Saccharomyces cerevisiae S288C: one gene and its partners. Changing the gene in region 1 together with any one later gene gives a genetic interaction. Each region holds a gene or a part of one and is shown in the gene's direction. Other genes may lie near its edges. The genes, in order: UBX4, RPL8A, SUT1 and PRE9.

The links.
Region 2: mutations in UBX4 (region 1) and RPL8A together harm fitness less than expected from each alone (positive genetic interaction), as found in Saccharomyces cerevisiae (2 studies listed by BioGRID).
Region 3: mutations in UBX4 (region 1) and SUT1 together harm fitness more than expected from each alone (negative genetic interaction), as found in Saccharomyces cerevisiae (2 studies listed by BioGRID).
Region 4: mutations in UBX4 (region 1) and PRE9 together harm fitness more than expected from each alone (negative genetic interaction), as found in Saccharomyces cerevisiae (4 studies listed by BioGRID).

The regions. Positions count from the first base shown.
Region 1 is NC_001145.3:400,721-407,462, reverse strand, and holds UBX4 (Ubx4p), read left to right. Parts: upstream 1-1,889; coding exon 1,890-3,140; downstream 3,141-6,742. Other genes in the region: AVO2 (Avo2p), read right to left, coding at 1-1,159; SOV1 (Sov1p), read right to left, coding at 3,226-5,922; KAR5 (Kar5p), read right to left, coding at 6,247-6,742. UniProt on the Saccharomyces cerevisiae protein: Involved in CDC48-dependent protein degradation through the ubiquitin/proteasome pathway.
Region 2 is NC_001140.6:31,653-37,702, reverse strand, and holds RPL8A (60S ribosomal protein eL8 RPL8A), read left to right. Parts: upstream 1-1,677; coding exon 1,678-2,448; downstream 2,449-6,050. Other genes in the region: GUT1 (glycerol kinase), read left to right, coding at 1-1,324; SBP1 (Sbp1p), read left to right, coding at 3,626-4,510; putative ATP-binding cassette multidrug transporter VMR1, read left to right, coding at 4,947-6,050. UniProt on the Saccharomyces cerevisiae protein: Component of the ribosome, a large ribonucleoprotein complex responsible for the synthesis of proteins in the cell.
Region 3 is NC_001139.9:195,363-201,659, forward strand, and holds SUT1 (Sut1p), read left to right. Parts: upstream 1-2,775; coding exon 2,776-3,675; downstream 3,676-6,297. Other genes in the region: DNA-dependent ATPase RAD54, read right to left, coding at 1-1,041; YIP5 (Yip5p), read right to left, coding at 3,848-4,780; AIM14 (putative metalloreductase), read left to right, coding at 5,199-6,297.
Region 4 is NC_001139.9:756,638-762,668, forward strand, and holds PRE9 (proteasome core particle subunit alpha 3), read left to right. Parts: upstream 1-4,754; coding exon 4,755-5,531; downstream 5,532-6,031. Other genes in the region: PEX4 (E2 ubiquitin-protein ligase peroxin 4), read left to right, coding at 259-810; CCR4-NOT core subunit CAF130, read left to right, coding at 1,133-4,501; LSB1 (Lsb1p), read left to right, coding at 5,791-6,031. UniProt on the Saccharomyces cerevisiae protein: The proteasome degrades poly-ubiquitinated proteins in the cytoplasm and in the nucleus. It is essential for the regulated turnover of proteins and for the removal of misfolded proteins.

The DNA.
Region 1 (6,742 bases):
CGTCCGGGTCCTTTCTTAGTCCCATTCCTATAGTGGCATCACCGCCATTGCCGCCGCCACCGTCATCGTTGATTGTAGCTGTCTGTGAGTCTCCTCTCACGTTGTCATTGCTCTTGTTAGGCAACAAGTATCTATTAATCAACGCGATGTTGTTGTGCGGACTTGTTGGTGTTGCACTGTGTCGTACTGATTCAGATACAAGCTCTTTCTTGGGCGACACACCTACTGGAGTCTTGACGTTGATGGAGTTCACTCTTAGTCTCGAGCTGGAATTTGAGCTTGACGAAAAACTGTCCGTAGACAAGGTTGGTTTTCGTGGGTTGAATACTGGATTTGTGATAGAACTCCTCCGATTCCCACCGTTACCGCTTGTTGTATGCGTTGATATCCTTCTTGGTAATACCGGCAACGGACTATTATTGGAATAGAGCGAATATGGCGAATTCATGCTTAAAACTGGGGAAGGCCCGTCCTCGAAAGTGGCCTTCGCATTTAGTATAGGAGTTCTGAATGAACTTGGTTTTTTGCCTGCACCCAACGGTGGCCCCTTCTTTTTCACCTCTTTTAACACTTTTGAATATATATTACCTACTTCAAACGTTTGTGCTACATCTATTGGCTTCCAATTTCCCTTGTCCCTGACATTATCATCCAAGGACACCTCACCTTCATTGAGAAGCATCTTCATACAACTTATACTGCCATACTCCAGGCATACATGCAGCGGCGTGTCGCCATTAGTGTCCATTACCCATAAATCAGCACCAACTCCTATCAACAGACTCAGACATTGGTAGTAATCGTTCATACATGCTATATGGATGGGGGCTCTACCATTCTCTCCGCGATGGTTGATAAATCGCGGAAATTGTTGCAAAAGTAAATGTAAGGTTTGCTCGTGCCCTTTCATTAATGCTAAATGCACACAGGTGTTTCCTTTAAAGGTTTTTATTAGTTCATGCTTGTCGTGCCCCAGCTGAATTAAATACACGCATATAAGGTATCTTCCATGGTATGAGGCGTAATGTAATGAACTCCATCCGTTCTCTGAGTCTATGTTGGTTAGCAAATCCGGATTCCGTCGCAATAATCTTTTCACTATAAGTAAATTGCCTTCAATAATAGCCTCCCGCAAGCGAACTGAGGGCTCTTTCAACATCTTTTGTTCAATATATCCTCTTTTCTAATGGGCGTTTTTTTTTTTTATTTTTAGGGTCCAGTTGATTTATACATTTTCAATTGTACCAGATCAAAAAAGTCTAGAGGAAAAAAACGTAATTAAGACAGAAGAAAAAAAGTATCAACTCCGGAATAACCGGGCCGCAAGAGAAATCAAACAATTAGTTGCACGAACATTTTTATCAGGAATAAGCAGGTAAGGGTAGGTATAAAGGTCAGCTCAGTACACGTATATCGTGTGAGTTATCTTTATTAAAATAATGATTCCAGAATAAGCGATGAGAGAGTAACGCTATTGGAATATGATATGGGAAATATCTTGAAACAATTTCAATAATTTGTCCATGTTTATGCAGTGTTGTACAAGCGTTTTTAAAGAAACTGTATAATATTCAAGATAGCGGGCGCCTCAACCGCTGTTTTGCTCCTCTTTTCTCTTGGAACTCTTGCCAAGAAAGATGTACGCCTTATAAAACGCTAGATGCTATTTCTTGCAACTTTATTACAAAATTTCAGCACTATTTCTTGCAATCCTAGATGTTTCCCTGTCTTCTATCTTCGATGTTAATTTAGACGTTTCTTCAAAGATTCAAGTTCTCTTTTATTGTACTATGTGTGGCAAAAAAAAAAGAAAACCAAAAAATGCAAAAACTAAGATAAATCTACGTACTGCGAAGAATAGCAAGGCAGACTAATAAGCGCACAATACAATGCCTATGGTTACCGTGAAGTATAACTTCCAACTTTTCAAATGTAAAGTTTCGTTGAATTCAACACTAAACGATGTGTTACACCAATCCATACAATTCTTTCAACTGCACACCTCGTCAAACGACTGGTCATTGATACATTTGGATAAACCGGTGCCATTAGATTTGCCATGGAGGCTTCTAAACTTACCAACGGGTGTCAACTTAGAATTATCTAAAAGTAGTAATTTTCCGGTGGCGAATAAGACCAACCGCGAAGATATTCCATTCAATACGATCAAAATACGGTTTCAAATCCCAGGAAGAGATTCCGTGGTTAAAGAAATGCCATCTGACCAACCAATTGCCCCTATCTTGCGACAGATGAGCGGCGCTGCGGGAGATGATTTTAAGATCCAGGTCTTTTCCAAGATAATAGAGTTCAAAACAATTAAGGATGAGAATTTGACTCTCGAAAATTTAGGGATTCAGGAGCCTTCGTCAGTTAGATTGATTTTTAATAATACATCTCATTCTGAGGGCATTAGCGCTAATAGCGCTATTCACCCAAAACAAACTCCCCCTACGATGACGAACCCGGAAACGGTTGCTTCACTACCACCTCACGAACTACATAAACCTTCTGTGTTTTTGCCCTCGGATGAGCCATTAGCAGTTATCAAGGATCAAATCGAGGATGAAGAAGATTATGAATTGACAGTAGAACAAGCCAAGAAATACCAAAAAATGTTATCATCGAAGGCTGGTACTTTGGGTGGTCCTATTTTGACAAAGAGACTTAGAGAGCAATCAGCCAACAACTTGCCAAAGAAAAATAAGGCTATATCTGAGTGTTTGCTGAGAGTCAAGTTCCCCGATAGAAGCCATATTCAAATAGCATTCAAACCCAATGAAGACATGCGTACAGTTTATAACGTCGTGTCGCAGTTCCTGATCGATGAGAACATGCCTTTTACGTTAAACCAATCTCATCCTTTCAAACCCTTGGCTAAAGACGATAAGAAGCTACTGGATGACCTGGAATTTGGCTCTAAAACAATGCTGCTTTTTGAAACAAATTCAAATTCTAATGGCCCATTAATAAAGGCTCATCTTTTGGAAGACGCACAAAAAATCACACACGAAACGAGGACAACCCCATCAGTTAATACGATAAATAAATCCAATCCACAGGGCCCTTCTGATAACGCTACAAGTATCAAAAAGACTTTAAATAGAGTACCTAAATGGATGAAATTAAGTAAAAAATAAATACAAAGCTAAACAGTCTCCTCTTTTAACTTTATTACAAATATGTACACGTATAGCTAAAATTATATAAAATGCATCCGTTTTTTTAGGCTTTTATCTTTAACTTATTTACATCTTCTATTAATTCTTCGAGTAAAGTAAACTCTGTTCCTAATTCTTTAAAAGCATCTTCTACCATCAAGAAAGTAGAACAATCACTTTTTTCCTTCCATTTTATAAAGATCAAAATCTCCCTGATCAAATGGGATATTGTATTCTCTTGATTTGTACCCTGTGGAATGTTTTTTAAGATTGACTCATTATTCATTAGCTCCGCCTTCCGTAACTTGTACTCACAAGCATCTTTACTGATGTTACTAATATCTCGTAAATATTGTCTTTTCAAACCCTTTAGAATATACATACTCAAATCGTAATCAATATTCAAGTCAAATTTTTTCGTTAGAAACGTTAATATGGCAGGTATTGCTTCTAAATCCCCGCTTTTCATGAACGTGGACACAATTAATTTAGAAAAAGTTTTGTCTGGCAAAATTTCACCATTTTCTGCCGTCATTTGGAACAATACTCTTGGGTGACAAGTTGGGTGAATCTTTATCTGCCTTTTTATTAATTTCTTTACAATGGACGACTTTTTCGATAAAATCCTAGAATTATTTTGTAAAACATGATAATAATGGCAATACACAGACCAAATCTTGTGGTACAGCGGTTTTGTTATGATGCGACGGTTGTAAAATCGGCAAGGGTTTGAGGTGGATAATGAAGACTCAGAGCTCACCTGTTGTTTGGATTCAAGTAGCGGATTGATGATCTCAAAACTTGAATTAAAGTCATACATGCTATCATAAAAATTGAGTATTTCTCTCAAAAAAACAGCATTTGGGATAACCTCTGACTCCTGCATTCTTTTTAAAAGTGACTTCACTTTCTGCTTAAATTCCTTTTTTCTAAATGAGGGCGTATTTTGTGCCTTCATATTTTGAATTTGAAGACTATAAAATTCAACAAATTTAGCGTAATGATATGCATTAACTTCCGAATAAAACTGATTATAGAGTAAATCTGGATCTGTTTTTGATTTCTTTGAGGCTTCTTCTAGTTTTTTTAAGATATTATATGCTTTTTCTTCTTCACCTGTACCGAGAAGTATGTTCAACAAGCCATTAAACTTTCTGGAACGTGACACACTGTTTAATTCCATCCACTGTCCAGAAGCCTGTTTAGTAATGAACTCTTCCAGAAAATCAGTTAATACAATACTTTTTGTTAAGGCCGAAACATTCTCAAACAGCAATTCATTGTATATTGGAGAATTAGTGTTATACTTAGTAATAACGCTCTCAAATGCCTCTTGCAACATTTTCACATTATTCTCAGGCACTACATAATCTTTATTTTGAGCAAAAATGTTTCGTAGCTTTTCAAAATCTTTCAACATATTTAGCTTGGTTTTAACAAGTAGAAATGCGGCATCTTCTTGTGTCGTTCCAGGTATTTCCATGTACTTGCTGATAAGTTGAGCCGCCATGGGAATATTTCTCTTATAAAGATGGAAATCAACAATGCTGATATAATCATGATCCGATGGTATTTCTAGTTCATTTAAGAACTCAGTTGCATGTTTCTCATTCTGAAAATTTTTAACTCCCGTGGGAAGTTCCTCCTGCTCATCTTTCATTCTGATTATTCCAACTTCTTCCACTAACTTAATAAATCGATCAGTCAGTATATTAGCTTCAGTAACATTGCCAATCGACAAATATTTTCGTATGCTCAATTTGGTAACTCTTGGGCTCAAATAAGAATACTTTGTTGAGTACTTTGCATCTGTCTCGGCTAAAAGTTTCCTGAAGTTTCTCAAGTGGTTAGACCTTAATGTGATCATTAATCCTAGTTCATTCCACCAGCGCTCGTTTACTTTGTCTTTATTGGTAATAAATAAACTGTATGCAGCCTTATAGTTTCCAAAAACTAGTAGGGATTCAATATAGAATGACTCATTTATAGGATCTAAACGAACTTTCCCTGTGCCATAAAGTAAATTTCCGACCAAGTAAATCCCTTTCTCCTTCATTTCTTGCACTGGTATCAATTTAACAACTTCAAAAGCTTGAGCAAGTTGGCTGAATGTGACCATTTCTGTTATTGACTCTTTCGGTTTGATTATGCCATTAAACCGTTCATTAAAACTTTTCAAAATCTCCAGTAAAAATGATGTACTCCTTAACGGTATATGGCCCTCTTGATCTTCAAATTGTTCTTGTGCTGATCGGAAAATATCGTTCATTATGGATTGCTCTAAGTCATCTTCATTTCCTTTCTCTTCATTGTATACCTGGGTTTGGCCGGTCGTGTTCAATCTTTTGATTTCTAAATCACACTCTTCGAGCAAATAATTGAAAACTGCATTAATTTTTACGGTGCTATTAGAGTCCTTGCTTTCTAAGGTTTTTTTTAATCTGTTTAAATTCTTGTTACTTCTTTTAAAGTTAGTTTCATTACAAAATTTCAGATATTGAATGAACGTTTCCTGGATAGTATCAAGAGGATTGATCTCCTGAAATTTCTTATTACTGAGAAGATTATTTTCGATTTCCTCTGATGTTTTTCCTTTCAAAATGAGACATTTTTCTGGTTCGTCTGGCCCTATGATGGTCTTATTAAGAACTTCAGGTATATGGGAGGCATAATTCAATGGCGCCCGCTTCAATCTATAAAAACGAATCTGAGACTTTGCTATCAAAGCGCTGCTACAGAGTGAGCGGTTGTATTTGAACATGAGTTATAAATATAGTATGGCCTTGTTTAATACGTTACTACTACCTAATGAATACTACCTGTGCCCATGATATAGAATCTCAAGATCTTTTTGCTTCGTCTTCAATGATAAAGCTGTAGGTGCTGCACTCGAACTCTCTTAAGCAAATTAACTTGGATAGTGACGTAGGACACCTTCTCTAGGTTCACTTGCCCGTATTATGGCCACCATGATCCGGTGTCCTTGAATTTTTAAAGAATATTTATTTTGCTAGACTTTGAATGCGGCTATATACCTATACATCTATGTATATATAGGCTTTCATATATTGTTACATCGGTAATGTTAAAAATCAATCAATGAGCCAGTCTTAGCTCCTAGATAAATTGAAAGTAGAAGAGCTGCCCATTGGTAATAGCGTTTAATAGGAATCATTTTGACGTTTACTCGAGACGTACGGTATTTTGACCAAATCCACACAACGGAGCACAGTAACCAGTAGTATTTATTCTTGACTGCAAGGTACCCACATCTTATAATCATTTTACTAGTTTTCCACATAAAATCCAATACCCTCATCATTGTCATGACATTTTTATGGACAAGTGAGACTCTGATTTCAATGTCGTCTAATTTTTTTTTTGTGCCATTCAGTTTCTCTGAAATATCATTAAAAGTTGAAAAAATCTCCTCATTCCATAAAGCAAAATCTCCATTTAGTGTAGATGTTATAGCTGTCCATTCTTGTAGTAAGGTATTTTTGAAGTTCGTCATCTCAGGTACTATCTCATCCGTCATGGATGGTAACAATGAATCATGAAGGATGGAATTGAACCCTTGC
Region 2 (6,050 bases), on another chromosome or scaffold:
CAATGAGCCTCTGTGTACCAAGGCGTATGAGGAGAACGACCTGATGTTCGGCACTGTGGACACATGGCTGATTTACCAATTAACTAAACAAAAGGCGTTCGTTTCTGACGTAACCAACGCTTCCAGAACTGGATTTATGAACCTCTCCACTTTAAAGTACGACAACGAGTTGCTGGAATTTTGGGGTATTGACAAGAACCTGATTCACATGCCCGAAATTGTGTCCTCATCTCAATACTACGGTGACTTTGGCATTCCTGATTGGATAATGGAAAAGCTACACGATTCGCCAAAAACAGTACTGCGAGATCTAGTCAAGAGAAACCTGCCCATACAGGGCTGTCTGGGCGACCAAAGCGCATCCATGGTGGGGCAACTCGCTTACAAACCCGGTGCTGCAAAATGTACTTATGGTACCGGTTGCTTTTTACTGTACAATACGGGGACCAAAAAATTGATCTCCCAACATGGCGCACTGACGACTCTAGCATTTTGGTTCCCACATTTGCAAGAGTACGGTGGCCAAAAACCAGAATTGAGCAAGCCACATTTTGCATTAGAGGGTTCCGTCGCTGTGGCTGGTGCTGTGGTCCAATGGCTACGTGATAATTTACGATTGATCGATAAATCAGAGGATGTCGGACCGATTGCATCTACGGTTCCTGATTCTGGTGGCGTAGTTTTCGTCCCCGCATTTAGTGGCCTATTCGCTCCCTATTGGGACCCAGATGCCAGAGCCACCATAATGGGGATGTCTCAATTCACTACTGCCTCCCACATCGCCAGAGCTGCCGTGGAAGGTGTTTGCTTTCAAGCCAGGGCTATCTTGAAGGCAATGAGTTCTGACGCGTTTGGTGAAGGTTCCAAAGACAGGGACTTTTTAGAGGAAATTTCCGACGTCACATATGAAAAGTCGCCCCTGTCGGTTCTGGCAGTGGATGGCGGGATGTCGAGGTCTAATGAAGTCATGCAAATTCAAGCCGATATCTTAGGTCCCTGTGTCAAAGTCAGAAGGTCTCCGACAGCGGAATGTACCGCATTGGGGGCAGCCATTGCAGCCAATATGGCTTTCAAGGATGTGAACGAGCGCCCATTATGGAAGGACCTACACGATGTTAAGAAATGGGTCTTTTACAATGGAATGGAGAAAAACGAACAAATATCACCAGAGGCTCATCCAAACCTTAAGATATTCAGAAGTGAATCCGACGATGCTGAAAGGAGAAAGCATTGGAAGTATTGGGAAGTTGCCGTGGAAAGATCCAAAGGTTGGCTGAAGGACATAGAAGGTGAACACGAACAGGTTCTAGAAAACTTCCAATAACAACATAAATAATTTCTATTAACAATGTAATTTCCATAATTTTATATTCCTCTCCACCTTCTATTGCATCATGTACTATTCAAATGACTGTAACACTAGTATTATGAAGAAAACACCCAAACATATCTAGGCCATCAGATTTTTTTTTTTTCATTTTTCATTTTTTTCTCATTTTCTTATTTATTTTTATTGAAAAATAATAACCGACGCAAACAAATTGGAAAAACCAACGCAAAAAAAAAAAGACGCTAAATTGTTTATAAAGGCGAGGAATTTGTATCTATCAATTACTATTCCAGTTGTCAGTTTACATTGCTTACCCTCTATTATCACATCAAAACAACTAATTCGAAATGGCCCCAGGTAAGAAAGTCGCTCCAGCTCCATTCGGTGCTAAGTCAACTAAGTCTAACAAGACTAGAAACCCATTGACTCACTCTACTCCAAAGAACTTCGGTATTGGTCAAGCTGTCCAACCAAAGAGAAACTTGTCCAGATACGTCAAATGGCCAGAATACGTCAGAGTGCAAAGACAAAAGAAGATCTTGTCCATCAGATTGAAGGTTCCTCCAACCATTGCTCAATTCCAATACACTTTGGACAGAAACACCGCTGCCGAAACCTTCAAGTTGTTCAACAAGTACAGACCAGAAACTGCTGCTGAAAAGAAGGAAAGATTGACCAAAGAAGCTGCCGCTGTTGCTGAAGGTAAGTCCAAGCAAGATGCTTCTCCAAAGCCATACGCTGTCAAGTACGGTTTGAACCACGTTGTTGCCTTGATCGAAAACAAGAAGGCTAAGTTGGTTTTGATTGCTAACGATGTCGACCCAATTGAATTGGTTGTCTTTTTGCCAGCTTTGTGTAAGAAGATGGGTGTTCCATACGCCATTGTCAAGGGTAAGGCTAGATTGGGTACCTTGGTTAACCAAAAGACCTCTGCCGTTGCCGCTTTGACTGAAGTCAGAGCCGAAGACGAAGCTGCTTTGGCTAAGTTGGTTTCTACCATTGACGCTAACTTCGCTGACAAATACGATGAAGTCAAGAAGCACTGGGGTGGTGGTATCCTTGGTAACAAGGCTCAAGCCAAGATGGACAAGAGAGCTAAGAACTCCGACTCCGCTTAAATTGAAAATGAGAAATTTTGCATAAAAAATTTATTTTTTAATAATAATATTAATTTTCAAACGTTTTAATATAATAATGACCTTAAATAACCTTTTAAGGTGATTGCTTTGTTGAAGCTTTGATACTTGGACCATGGGAAGTACCTCATTATAGGAAAATCATATCGACTTATTTTGAATATCACAATAATTTTGCATGCCTTAGTAGTTTTGGATTACCTAAGCTATGTTGATCGCATCCAAGATTATTAGGTCAGAAGGTCATTAACATCCAAAAGCGATATGATTGTGCCATTGAAGTGAGTGAAAGCCGTGGTTTCGAGACAAAGTTACAGAAGTAGTCACCGTTGTAAATAAGTATTGCCATATCGGATTGATGCTGGGAAGAAGTTCAAATTCATATTCTCACTTGCGCTACCCGTGCAGCTGGCAATCTTGAAGCCAGCGTCCAGTTAGTCTGATATGGCGTGTTTAACGATGTTTGAAACTCCACGATCATTGGTCGAGTCAAGAATAAATGTAATGTCATTTGAAATGTCGTCAGTAGACGTCCGTTACAGTTATGAAAGACTTCGAGGCCGCACACTAAGAGTCACCATGCTACTTCTGCAGGTGGCCGCGCTGTACACTTGCATTTTGTATGGGGAACTTTATATTTAAAATTAAGGCTAAGGCAATGTAGGCACTATCTAGGGATCTCAAATACATAAATTTCTCTGCAATTAAGTTATTAGATCTACAATTTACCAATTTTATCATCGAGCGGAAAATATTGAAAAGTATATACAATTTCTCCTAAAAAGGCCCTGCTCGTTTTGACCTGTACTAGTAACTATTTTGCAGCCAATTATGGTAGTGAAAATATGATAGTACACTATTTTTTGGGTCACTACTGCCGCTAAATATTTTAAAATTTGTATGAATTGCCTCTTTATTATCTTTAAATTCCCGTCCCAGGTGACGCGTCGCCAAAGGGAAGGGGCAAAACTAGTCGAAAAGCAGAATAAAATTTTTCTAATTTAGCCACCCTGAGTGTCACAGGTTGTGGCATAAAGGATACGCAATTGGACTCAAAATAATCATTCTGCAAATTTAAAGGAAGTTACTGAGTTATCACTACATCGAGAGAAGAAGTTTCCCCCAAAAGAAAGAAGAAAACCCTCAAACGAAGAAAAATATGTCTGCTGAAATTGAAGAAGCTACTAATGCCGTAAACAACTTGAGCATCAACGACTCCGAACAGCAACCAAGGGCTCCTACTCATAAGACAGTAATTGACCCCGAGGACACAATCTTTATTGGTAATGTTGCTCACGAATGTACCGAAGACGACTTGAAGCAATTGTTTGTGGAGGAATTCGGGGATGAAGTCAGCGTAGAGATCCCAATTAAGGAACACACCGACGGTCACATTCCAGCTAGTAAACACGCTCTAGTCAAGTTCCCAACCAAGATTGATTTTGATAATATCAAGGAGAATTATGACACGAAAGTCGTTAAGGACAGAGAAATTCATATTAAGAGAGCTAGAACTCCAGGCCAAATGCAAAGAGGAGGTTTCAGAGGCAGAGGCGGTTTCAGAGGCAGAGGAGGTTTTAGAGGAGGTTTCAGAGGCGGCTACAGAGGAGGTTTCAGAGGCAGAGGGAACTTCAGAGGTAGAGGCGGCGCCAGAGGTGGTTTCAATGGACAAAAAAGGGAAAAGATTCCATTAGACCAAATGGAAAGATCAAAGGATACCTTATATATTAATAACGTCCCATTCAAAGCTACCAAAGAGGAGGTCGCTGAATTTTTCGGTACTGACGCCGACTCCATCTCTTTGCCAATGAGAAAAATGAGAGACCAACACACTGGTAGGATCTTCACATCCGATTCTGCTAATAGAGGTATGGCATTTGTCACTTTCAGTGGTGAAAACGTTGATATTGAAGCTAAAGCTGAAGAATTTAAAGGCAAGGTTTTCGGTGACAGGGAGTTAACTGTAGATGTTGCTGTTATTAGACCAGAAAATGATGAAGAAGAAATTGAGCAAGAAACTGGTTCTGAAGAAAAGCAAGAATAATTACTTCTTACCCACATCCCTATTTCTAACTTGAGTTTTTGCTAGAGTTTTGTATTTTTGTTCACCTTCCCTGCAAAAGAAATATGTGTATTTATATATGCGTGTATACCTATATATGATATGTAAAAATGAGACGCCCCTGTTTTATTTTCAAACACTTCCCCGTATAGTTTTTTGCAATGACACTACTTTAACTTCTTCGACATGATTTGCTTTAGCACTACGAAGGATTGCATCATAACGTTTCGAAAGGGGTGCACTTTTAAAAACCAGTAAGTGAGTGCCTCGTGAACTGCTATTTTCGTATTTTGAAAAAAAAAATAAAAAAAAACTCCCTTATATATATATATAAATATCTATGTACTAAATGTCAAATCGCTAGCTCTCACCTATATCTTATTCATGCTGCAACCTCAATGGTTCACTACCTCGGAGAATGGGAACGGATCCCCTTATTATCCGAAATAATGGTTCATTTTGGGAAGTTGATGATTTTACTCGTTTAGGAAGAACTCAGCTATTGAGCTACTATTTACCATTGGCTATCATAGCCTCAATTGGCATTTTCGCACTTTGTCGCAGTGGATTATCTCGTTATGTAAGATCTGCCGAGTGCGATTTAGTGAACGAATATCTATTTGGCGCACAAGAAGAGAGAAAAGAAGATAATAGTATAGAAAGACTTCTACGGAACTCAAATACCCAAGCCAATTACGTCAACGTCAAAAAGCAAGGAAGGATTTTGAAACTTAGACATTTTGATATAACAACTATAGATGTCAAGCAAATCGATGCTAAAAATCATGGTGGACTAACGTTTAGTAGACCGTCTACTAGTGACCACTTAAGAAAATCATCTGAAATTGTATTAATGTCTTTACAAATAATTGGCCTTTCCTTTTTAAGAGTAACAAAAATCAATATTGAATTAACGAACAGAGATGTTACAACTTTACTATTATTTTGGTTAATACTACTTTCCCTAAGTATCTTAAGAGTTTACAAGCGTTCAACGAATCTTTGGGCCATCTGTTTTACTGCCCATACAACTATTTGGATTTCAACCTGGATTCCAATTCGTTCGGTCTATATTGGTAATATCGATGATGTACCCTCACAGATATTTTACATCTTTGAATTCGTAATTACTTCAACCTTACAGCCAATAAAGCTCACTTCACCGATTAAAGACAACTCATCCATCATCTACGTTAGAGACGACCATACGTCTCCTTCGAGGGAACACATATCCTCAATTTTAAGTTGCATTACTTGGAGCTGGATTACCAATTTTATATGGGAGGCCCAAAAGAACACTATTAAGTTAAAGGATATTTGGGGCTTATCAATGGAAGACTATAGCATTTTCATTCTAAAAGGGTTTACCAGGAGAAACAAGCACATTAATAATTTGACGCTAGCACTGTTTGAATCTTTCAAAACATATTTACTCATAGGAATGTTATGGGTTCTGGTGAACAGTATTGTAAACCTTCTTCCCACAATTTTAATGAAAAGATTTTTAGAAATTGTGGATAAC
Region 3 (6,297 bases), on another chromosome or scaffold:
TGCTATACACTGCAATGTCTTACCCAGCCCCATTTCATCGGCCATGATGCAGCCGTAGGCCCCTCTATTGTTTTGTTCAGTCTTTTGAGATTCAGTAAGTGCCTTCTCGTCGCTCTTTAAGGGATCTTCGCTTGAAGTGTTGAACGCCTCAGCTTCTAAGTAATCTTTCATGACAAGCCCTGTGACACAACGGTATAAGAATCTCACCCCTTCGACTTGATGGGGTCTTAAAATCTTGGCCAGTTTTGGATCAATAACCACAGGGACACTAGCAAATTTCTTCTTGTTTTCCGCAGAGTTTTCCGAATCACCGAGTAGCTCACGTAACGGTTTGTTTCTCACACCATTTGTCATCAAAGCTGGATGGCGTCCTATTCTTTGTGTGGGTCTTTCTTCCTGGCTATTCTTTTCCTTGTTAATATTATCCTTTTCCTGTGTGCTTTTGATCATTTTCTTTGATTCTTCTTCCTTGTTATCCATAGATGTGTCATGGACAATCATTTCACCGTCAACGGACGGGTCATAAAGCACTATGGCAAATTCGTCTGTAGGGTCATGTAGAGGTCGAGGTTCTGGAGTAATTTTTTTTTTCATTCCTAACGTTAATGGCAGACTGTGTCTTTGTACATATCCCTTGATTGGCACAGTGAAAGATCTTCTCAAAGTGTACTGGATATGACTCAGTCTTGTCGGATCCTTGGCCAACCTTTGAGCACTAAGAGCATCCTTCCGTCGTTTAGTCAACTGAGAAAAACTTATGTCTTGGCTGTTGTACTCTGCTTCGTCCGCATTTATATCCAAGCCGGAATAACATACAGTCGCTGATCTTTTCCTCAAGCTCCTTCCTCCTACGATATTATCAGACCCGGTGGCGATTCTACCAGCAGCGGGCGGGATGTGCGTGTTCTTGTACGGGACCCTGAACGGTTTCGTTAGTCGGTTCACCGAGTCTTGTACGTTAATAGGCCTAGGTACCAGTCTCGGCCGTTCACCGGCTCCTATTCCATTTGGTGGTCTGTCTGGTAATCTGCGTCTTGCCATCAGTTATAAGGAAATATATATGGTACCTTGAAATAGAGCTAAGTTCTGAGCGTTTGATTTTTCTATACTTTCGTAGCAGCTTTAGTGAAGAAAGAGAAAAGTTGCTGCTCTAGATTTTGTATCGGCTATTACGTCAAGTGAGAAGAGTTTTGGCCTTCGCTTCAGTTAGATCTTCTATTATTTCCTTTTTTTTCTTTTTGTTTGTAATTGTTTTTTATTTTTTTTTTTGCGCGAAACTTTGCTATATTGGGTAACGCGTAAAATACTTTTTATTATTGCAGTAAGGCGGAAGGGTCTTCCCCTTTGCATGTTAAATAGCATACATGGCACCACTCAGGTCCAGAACGTGACACATCTTTGCACCACTTGTGTATTTTCAAGATGTTAAATTTTTGATACATAAGCTTTATCATGCAGGTGCAGTAGACGCATTTGCGTACGCGTTGAGTAGTAATGCAAGAACGCAACAATTTCACGCTTTCTACTTAAGAGGACAGATCTTCGAGCAGAATATTTTTCTCCTAGCGCGGCTTTCAGAATCTTCTTACCATCTGCAGGACATCACATGCAAGCACATGAAGCTGGAACCACGCACCATTAAATGTAAACCTACAGACATAGCTAGCACAGAAATGCTACTTTGGAAACCTCGGTTGCATCGGCTGACCTCGGCTGTTCAGCAACGTGAGCTGGTTGTTGTTATTGTTCATAGAATCCTGTATTTTACCAGTGTAGCTTTGTCCGCCCACCCCACGCTTTTGGCCACTAGTATGTACGTATATGCGTGGGCTCTATATCATTGAAAACGAATTTTCCACGCAAAACCCACTTCACACCATAAAGGCCTTATGACGATGTACATTCTTCCCCTCCCCCCTCCTCCCGAAGGAACCCTTATAGTGATCCTAATACGGTATAACGTAAACCGGAGTTGTCAGCAGAGAGAAGCGAATAATATGTTTTGCGTGGGGTTCCCACGAGCGGCAGGAACCGTAGCGCATTGAAAAATGAATCATCGATCATCTTTGGGTTTCAAGGGTTCGGACTTCGCCAAAGGTCCGAATACTTCCACCAGTATTTCTCTTTTTCCCTTTCCAGTCTCGTTCTTCGCCGAATCCCCGCTTTCCCATCATGATCGTTTCTCTGTTTCTCTCTTTCCGGAACAGGCTCTTTTCTGACCGCCAGTTCGTGCGGTTAGTTCTGTGGATCTTGCAGGCACTTGCCGGTTTAGCCACACTTCTCCGCTGTTTGTGTCGAATTTCCCTCGAGTATGAGAAAGACTGGACCACAAAAGAGGGAAAAAAAATGGGCCGATTTTAAACCATTATAGGTCACAGAAAAACTTTCTTACGACGGTGGTTTTTCAACAATACGTTTCTTGAGCAGGAGAGGAGCTTTGTTCTTTTGCCTTAGTTTTTTTTGTCTTTTTTTGTGAGCCATCCTGCTGTCGTTGCCATACATGACAGATCCACATTTGCCTTGTTGTTTTTAGTTTTTGTTCCTTGCACCATATAAAAGCGTCACTTGTATTTTCCTTACTCATCTAAACTTCAAGCTTTTTCGTCATAGTAGGTTTGTGATCTCGGCAAAGAAAAAAAATTTTTTTGCCGATCTTTCTGGTTATTGTTTCAGGTATCTTTATGAAAGTATTAGTGTACGCACTGGATTTTTGGTAGGTCTATAAAAGTGCAACACATAATCTAAATCATTGAGGTCATCGTATGTCAAAAGAAGATGTCCACAAGCATTACAGTAAGAAATAGAGATCGATCGCTACCACCGCTATTGCTCCCCAATGTTTCCCTGCTAGAAAAAGATATACGGCGTAAAGGCACCCAAAATGTGGGCATCACCGATCCAGAACTCTTGTCGACCACTTGGACGAGGAAGCGGGCTTTTCCGACTGACGAGCTTTTAGGAGGCTATAAGAGATTAAAGCCTGCTGCCGCTGACAGTAATGAGTGCGCTATTGGTATTGCCACGGTGACGCCGCCGCCAACGCTCCCCGTAAGTGCGATTGTTCCCCCTCCACAAAATTACACTCCACCATTGTTTGAGTATCATCCTCATGCTCTTGCTTCCATGGTCAATGAAGACGCTAATGCGTCATGCACTCAAATGTCTATAATTTCGCGCTCAACGAGCAACTCGACAACCTCCTCTGCCACATCTACTAGTTCAATTTCCAAGAGACAAAGAAGTGGCCCAAGTTGTGACAAATGTCGTTTGAAAAAAATAAAATGTAATGCGAAAATTGAGATTTTGCTTCAAGACGATACTATAATGCCAATGATCTCGAACAAGTTGCGGTACGTCTTGACTCCTGACGATATTCGGCTATATCGAGGCACGCTGTTGCGGAATATTGCCATACCGGATGATGTCATTGAGGGTACAGGCTCACGCAAGTTGATTAAGCATATTGATAAGTTGGTTTTGCTCACACCTTGTTTACCATGCATTAAGAAAAAGCATTCTTCTTCTTCCACTAATTTCCCAAAAAATGATAAATGTACTTTTTCAAAAGGCTTTACCAGAGCTGACATAAACATTTCATCCAAAATCTCCTTAAAATTTAAGGATAAAACCATTTACGACATAACCTATGATGACTATAAAAGCATTGATTTTTAGACAAAGGCATCTCTAATGAATAGCATCACAAAACTTGCATTTAGCATTAACATATATGGATATATATGTACACACAGAAAACGTATAAACACTCATGTATAACCCTACATAATAAGAGTATACAATGATACTAGTCATAAAAAGTATTGTGTGTATAGACGTGCGCATATTTTCAAAATATTATAAACCTGAACAATAGACAGAATAAAGTATGCAGCGCAACGACAACGATGATGGACAGCGAAAATTTCCCGTTCGATTGTGTCTCCGTATTATTATTACTCGATATTTGAGAATTCAAGAAATAAGACGACTGTGCCCACCCAAGAGCCACAATTGCCCATTGAATTGCTTGAACAGTCCTCAGGCGCTTGGACATATCCAATATATTCAATATAACACAAACGGGTATCCAGATCAAGTTAGCGTACCCGTAAACGGAAATCAATTCAGGAACACTTTTGAAGCTTCTATTGCGCTCCGAGTGCTCATCTCTATTCAATACTTGCATGGTAATAAATGGTACGCCGAACGTGTACCCGTAAAATAGCCAAATAGAATGCAGTAGCTTCTTAAACTGACTGGCCCTGTCGATGTCCTCACCAGTCTTGACGCCCTCAATTACGTCACTGATAATAAAATTTAACCCCCTACTCATGGTAAAATTGATCATTACCACCGTGGCAGTGATCCATACAGCACCGTATAAATCAGTGTTATCTTCGTTACTTTCGGAATTATGATCGTTTCTAAACGTCAGTACCGCGGACAATCTCTTTTTGAACTGCGTCAAATCGATCTGGAAGTATTTAGAATAGTAGTTTATCAATCCTGGCCTCAATCCATTACGCCCAAGACCGTCGTTGTCATTCTGTCCTATCACTTGGTCGTACGCTGGTGGGTCCATTTGACCCTGTAATGGTGCGGATTCTGCCTTACTGCCCGTTGTGTTATAAAATTCGCTACCCTTTCCAGCAGTCGAGTTATTCATGTTTGGGCTATCAGGTACGGTGGCATCATCAAATGGGTTGGGCTCGTTGCCAAAATCATCTACACCCTCGAGATCATCGTCAATATCTAAAAAACTGCTATTATTGGACGGCATTTTTCTGCTTTTGTCGAGTCAATCCTATTTGCTAGTATACAATCGTGGATGAAGCGTAAAAAAGAACTACAGAACCAATGCGTTTGGATCCAATGTGGTCGCTGCCCTTGGCCCCTTTTACCTTGAGCGTAGGACGTTGATACATTTTCACTGCTTGAGAAATTAGGTATAATACACAGCCGGGTAAATAGCGTTTAATTGATCGCTGCTCCGTAATACCGATATACTGTTACGTTATGTATTGAAAATACAGTTTAACTATTATTTGTAGGGATACTACTATGGGGTCTCAACCGCACTTAAAGGCGCTAAAATATTTTGACTTTTCCTTCCTTATATTGTAGACGTGTTATTTAAAAACTACATTTTCCATATCTCGTCGCCAGAAACTTCTAATTTGGTAAGCCTTCCAATAAATATGAAAGAATCCCCTCTCATAACGTTGGTTAAAAGACATTCCGAGACACATTTTGCCAATATCAAGTATGGGTATTATGTGTTGATAATATCATTGGTCTATCTCATTGGATTGGCTCTTTTGAGAGCTTTCGGAAGGAGAACCCCATCCAGATCGTCGTCAGCTTTCAAAAATAAGATAATTTATCGGTTGTATGATATAGATCCTGCAATTCACTTAGGTATATTGTTTTTTGCAGTCTTGATTCCATTTTATTACCATTACTCTTTGACTACCCAATCTACGGTCTATCTCAAAAGATTAGGGAGGTTGAGTTACGCCTTGATCCCGCTGAACCTATTCCTCACTTTAAGGCCTAATTGGTTCCTTAGGAAAAATTGCACCTACACTGATTTTATACCGTTCCATAAATGGTTTTCACGTATTATCACCGTGATTGGTTTGCTTCATGGGATTTTCTTCATCATTAAGTGGGCGATAGACGATAATGTCTCTCTAAAGCAAAAATTGATTCTGAAAACTTTCAATTTTGCGGGATTCATAATATCAATATTGGTACTTTTTTTACTTATTTGCTCGATTGGGCCAATGAGAAGATACAACTATCGTTTGTTTTACATCGTACATAACCTGGTGAACGTGGCCTTCATCTTACTCACCCCAATACACTCTAGGCCAGGTGTTAAGTTCCCATTTCTTCTACTAAACTGTACCCTATTATTCATTCATATTATCAATAGAATAGTATTTGCGAAATCCTTGATGATTTTGAATAAGAATGCGAATTATTCAAAAACAAATTTAGTCCATGTAAGATTGCCCAGGGCTATTCTTCCAGATTATTTTGAACCAGGGTCGCATATTAGAATAAGCCCTTACAGAAGAATTAATCCCCTCTATTGGTTGCTACCATCGCATCCATACACAATTGCGTCTTTGGCAGAAGACAATTCAATTGATCTTATTATAAAGGAAACCTCTACAGCCGAGCCAGGTAGCCAGATAGAGTCTCTTCGTAGTAATCCAAAATCCTTTCATTTAGATCAAGAAAAAACCTATACTTTGATTAATAGTTATCCTCCCTCTGTACCCGAAGAAT
Region 4 (6,031 bases), on another chromosome or scaffold:
ATCATGAAGACGAGTTTATTCTCATCAGTGTTGATCTCTCATACTTGAATAACTCATTTGCAATGGTCTAAGACTCCAACTATGTAGTCATAGTCATTCACTGAAGTTTCTCTTTTCGAAATCCTGAACGGAAGCGGAATATATGTGGTATATATCGCATATTACTGCTTCACAGCATGCAGCGCAGACTGGCCGGGTTATGCTGCCACTTACTGGAGACAACATAAAATATACATAATCATCGCCTTTATACATAATATGCCAAACTTCTGGATTCTTGAGAATCGTAGGAGCTATACGTCTGATACATGTATGTCGAGGATCGTGAAGGAGTACAAAGTCATACTGAAAACATTGGCCAGTGATGACCCCATAGCGAACCCCTACCGGGGGATAATCGAGTCACTTAACCCGATTGACGAAACCGACTTGAGCAAGTGGGAAGCTATAATTTCTGGGCCGTCAGACACACCTTATGAAAATCATCAGTTTCGAATACTAATAGAAGTCCCTAGTTCCTACCCCATGAATCCACCAAAGATAAGTTTTATGCAGAACAATATTTTGCACTGCAATGTTAAATCAGCCACAGGAGAAATATGTCTGAACATCCTTAAACCAGAGGAGTGGACTCCTGTATGGGATTTGTTACACTGTGTTCATGCTGTTTGGAGACTCCTAAGGGAACCCGTTTGTGATTCTCCACTTGACGTAGACATTGGTAATATCATCCGCTGTGGCGATATGAGTGCCTATCAGGGGATTGTAAAGTACTTCCTAGCAGAAAGAGAGCGGATCAACAACCATTGATACCACGTAGGATGGATGTGTTCGAATGGCAAACAATGGGCCCTCACTTTTATCTGATGCAATTTCTACCTTACCCGGGCAGCGCCAATTTATGAATACAAATACTTTAACAAATTGCACTATTGATGTATTGACACATTTGTATATACATATACATATATTAATAAGGAGCACGAATTTTTGACAAGTAGTGCACGCAATATCTACATTAGTTAGCTTTTCCATTGACGCTGAATTTTATTTTGGCAGCCCAGTAGATCGTTGAGGAGCTTTTTTCAAACACTTTTTCTCTCTTAACTCCACATACTTACGTAAGAAAGTGATGACGAAAAAGAAAGCAGCTACTAATTATGCTGAAAGGCAAAATTTAGCCAGTGAAGATTCTTCAGGTGATTCGGTTCATTTTAAGGACTTTATTCCCTTACAAGAGTTACTGAAAGATAAAAATTATGTTCCATCGGTGGAAAATTTGGAGAAGATCTTATATAATGAAACCATGTTTAATGATCAGAAAATATGCTCTAACCTATTGCTTGAGGCTCTCATAATTACGTTGTTCACAACAATTTCAGGGAAGTCAGCTTTACGATTAATTCAGACTTCTTCTTTGAAGGAAAGAAAATCCTGGGCCCAGTCCTTTGAAAATAACAGTTCTAGCTATGCTTCCATAGTACTGAGTTGGAAAGATAATGATATATTACTCCTGAAATTCTTAAGGTTTTTATTAGCAAATAAAACGGCCCCTCTTCAAATTAATCGGTACAATCTTCCAGAATACAAACTCCCGTTGAGCTTTTTAATTGTTTCAAAAATTACTATTCCGTCCATATTACTCAATGAAACGTATAATTTGTTAAAGGACTATTTGTATTCGATAACTGGCCGTATAGAGAGTTTGATAAGCTGCAGCTCCACATTTGATAAGCCAGCACTTGTCGTTAGAAAAATTTTAAAAGATTACAATAGAATGATAGAATGCCGAAATTTTTATTTCTGGTATTCCTTTAATGCTGAGAACAGAGTAAATCTTACTTTTAGTGATAACATTAGCCTGTTAATGGAAAATGATGAAGGCAATGCTGGAAGTGGCCTTGACGATAGCCGTTTTGATCATCAAAAACAACCGAGAGAGGCGATAATGGGCCGAACAATAAATGACCAGGAACAAATATATTCATTCGAACTGAACCAAGATGGAACGCTTGAAATACCCAACGTTATGGAGCATTCTTTACTAAGACACGAGCTTCTTTTTAAAATATTAAATCTCACTACGGTATTGACGCCATTATTGGAACTACAATTTTCTACGCTATGTGGCTTAGTAGATCCATTAATGCAGCCTACTCCCAATGATAAGCATATTATATCGATAGACTTTCTTTTTCAGCTTTTTTTGGGATTAATGTCTCAGTCGATCAAGACTTCTCAAGAACACAACGACCATTATGACTGGAAATTTTATATGTGTTTTAACATGCAAAAAATTATTGATGCTACCATGTTGAGGCTCAACTGCTTTGATTTTGATATATTAAACTCGGTAAACAATACAGATAATGCAGTTCATTGGAAGACGCAACTTCACAGATGGCTACCGCATGGCCTGAATACACAAGACTTGGAATTACTCTATATGATTGATATACTGGCGGTATATACCATCTACAAGTTGTATGAAAAAATACCTATACAACTAAACCCATTTTTATTTTCATTAATATCCTTATGGAAAAACCTCTCCTGTGTTATACTTTTAGCCTTAGAAATTGATAGAATTGAAGAGGAGAATGGCACTTACGAAACGCCGCTTATGGTTCGCGCCACAATTCGTGGAGCCGCAGCATTGAGGTCTGTAATAGCTACCGTTCTCAATGGATTAGTGAAAAATAATGATCATGATTTCAAGCACGAGTCTTTAAACACATTCATGTCGCCCTATGGAAGAAAATTGTGTCATGGTGCTTTATATGCCGATTTAAGGTCACATACTGCATCTCTACTTGCGCTTGGAGCAAGCATCGAAGATGTAACAGATTTATTTGCCGATTTACAGTCAGGTGATAGATTTGATGAGGATATTAGATATATGTTTGATTATGAATGTGAAGATTATGATGAATCTTTCTCTGAAAGCGATCATGGAGGATTGGATGAAAGCGTTGTTAACCCAACAGAAAAAATAGCATCTGGTAGTAATAATGTTTTCTTTCGGAGACGGTGCAATTGCATCTTCAATGATGATAAGTTGGTGGCAGAGGATGGTGCAAATGAAGCCTTTGGGTCAACAAATAGCGAAAACGTTGAAGGCGCAATGCATAATAATAGGAATGCGGTACATAACGCGACTACAGCCACTTCTGATCACGTCGTTACGTCACCTAACCCACTTTCCGTTAGATCAAGAAGTACTTTTGAATTTGACTATAGTGGGGAAGATTGGAGGGACGTTCCCAGAGATTTCAATATGTACTATTCGCCATCTTATTCATTCATCCATGAGCCTAAGTTAGATGTCATATTTAGTTTGACTCTACGTGGCGCAACAGAAAAGTTGAATAAGGAGGAATCCATATTGTTAGTGCGTTCAGTTGCATCGTGTGTAAGGAACGAGCAGGACCAAATGATTTTAGCAGACCTGGAGTCTAATTTTTCCGCAAGTATAAACGGCGATGTAGAAGGTGAAGGAAATACCAAAATGTCCAAGATAGATAATGAAGATCTCAGAAGAACCACGCCGGATGATATTTATGAAATATGGTCTGAAGAATCAGCATTTGAAAGGATGCTAAACGTGAATCACGACGTTGCGTGGAGATTAATGGATGAAATGTTAATGTGCACCGGTTATAGGAGAATATTGATATGGTTCCTTACGCATTTGGAGTTAAAACATTCGTTGATATATTACGTTTTTGAACTAATAATGGGGTTACGTGGAAAACCGTTTTCCGGAGAAGCCAGTGATCAAGATAAAAAGGATGATATGATATATGAGATCTTGAAGAAAAAGCAGAAGAATGAAGATGCTTCAGGACTTCCCTTTTCAAGGCAAGGACCTATCGTATTATCTGATATTGAGACTAAAATGTTACTGCAGGAGTTTTTTATGAATGCTGCTATTTTTTTGTCATCAAAAAATAACGAAGAAGAGAATGAAGACGGCGAGAAAATCTCCTTGTACTCCCTTGGTTTGGTTAGGTTGATCTGTTACATGGTGCAGACACTCATCGCGAACGACAAGTTTTTTTTTACCAAATCAGAATGCACTTTTGAGCTTCAAACTTTACTGATGACATGGATTGGCATCCTTCCTGAAGCCAAAGATTTATTCTTTAAGATCAAGACAAGGCTCGCCATGGAAGAAGAGGATAGTGCCGATACTATGCAGCATGAGGGCAGGAAGAACTCTGACATAGAGAAGAAGCTAAACGCTAAGCCAGCTTCTGAACTGAATCTGAAATTGTTAAACCTGTTTCCCTCAAAGCCTGCAAACAAAGACGATAGTTCCCCTATTAACACGTTGCGTAGTTTTATCGCTGATTACTCCTTCGACACCCAGGTGAACCCTCCAGGAAGAAGGGTGGTGTTCTACGATGGTAAGATTTTGCCATTGCCCAAAGCCGATAAGCCTATCCCACTTCATGAATATATAACACTCGCAGAGCTCGATGTTGGAGACAGTGAGTGAGCAGTGAATTGCTCATGTTTTCTCTGCATCCTCATTTAATGACAATTAGCCATGTAATAACATCTTGAGGCAGTTAAATATTCGTTACCCTGCAGGTGGCAAAAAATTTATAGAATAAAAGCATAAAAAGATGGATATCTATGTAATAAGGAAACATTGGCAGAGCGAAGAGAACAGACTGCTTTCTATAAAAAGTTTTCGATCAGTCTCTATTTTAATAATTGATTATTGGATATAGTTAGTAGTGTTAAACATGGGTTCCAGAAGATACGATTCCAGGACAACAATTTTCTCCCCTGAGGGACGTCTATATCAGGTTGAATACGCGCTAGAATCCATTTCACATGCAGGTACCGCAATTGGGATTATGGCATCTGATGGGATTGTTCTTGCAGCAGAACGCAAAGTCACAAGTACTTTACTAGAACAAGACACCTCTACCGAAAAACTTTATAAGTTAAACGATAAAATTGCGGTTGCCGTTGCTGGACTGACTGCAGATGCAGAAATTCTAATAAATACGGCTAGAATTCACGCTCAAAATTACCTTAAAACCTATAATGAAGATATACCAGTAGAAATTTTGGTGAGAAGGCTAAGTGATATAAAACAAGGTTACACGCAACATGGTGGTTTAAGACCATTTGGTGTGTCCTTTATCTACGCCGGTTATGACGATAGATACGGTTACCAATTGTATACATCTAATCCATCGGGAAACTATACAGGGTGGAAGGCTATTAGTGTTGGCGCTAACACATCAGCAGCACAAACCCTACTTCAAATGGACTACAAGGATGATATGAAAGTCGATGATGCCATTGAACTGGCTTTAAAAACGTTATCCAAAACTACCGACAGTAGCGCGCTGACTTATGACAGGTTGGAATTTGCTACTATCAGAAAGGGTGCTAATGACGGAGAAGTGTATCAGAAGATTTTCAAGCCTCAAGAGATAAAGGATATATTGGTAAAGACTGGTATTACCAAGAAGGATGAAGACGAAGAAGCTGATGAAGATATGAAATAAGGTTGGAAAGTATTGTTTGACTTCATGCTTATATAAATATGTACGCATAGAAACATATCTCTAAAATTAAAAGTGAAAGAAAAAAATCGCTAAGATTCCCCTTTCGGGGGAAGGCTGAAGAAACTTTTTTTTGCGCAAATTTCAAGATCGGAATCGCTCGAGAGGCAAATATAAAAAAGGGCCTGCTCGTTTGGCCTACTTGTTGTTGGATTCTAACTCCAATCTAATTTTGGCAGCACTTCAAAAATAAACAAAAGCGATGTCTGCGTCACTAGTGAATCGATCATTGAAAAATATAAGGAATGAATTAGAATTTTTGAAGGAATCAAACGTCATATCAGGCGACATTTTCGAATTAATCAATAGCAAGTTACCTGAGAAATGGGATGGAAACCAAAGATCGCCCCAAAATGCAGATACAGAAGAGTACGTTGAAGCTTTATATGATTTTGAAGCTCAACAAGATGGAGATTTGTCATTGAAAACAGGTGATAAAATAC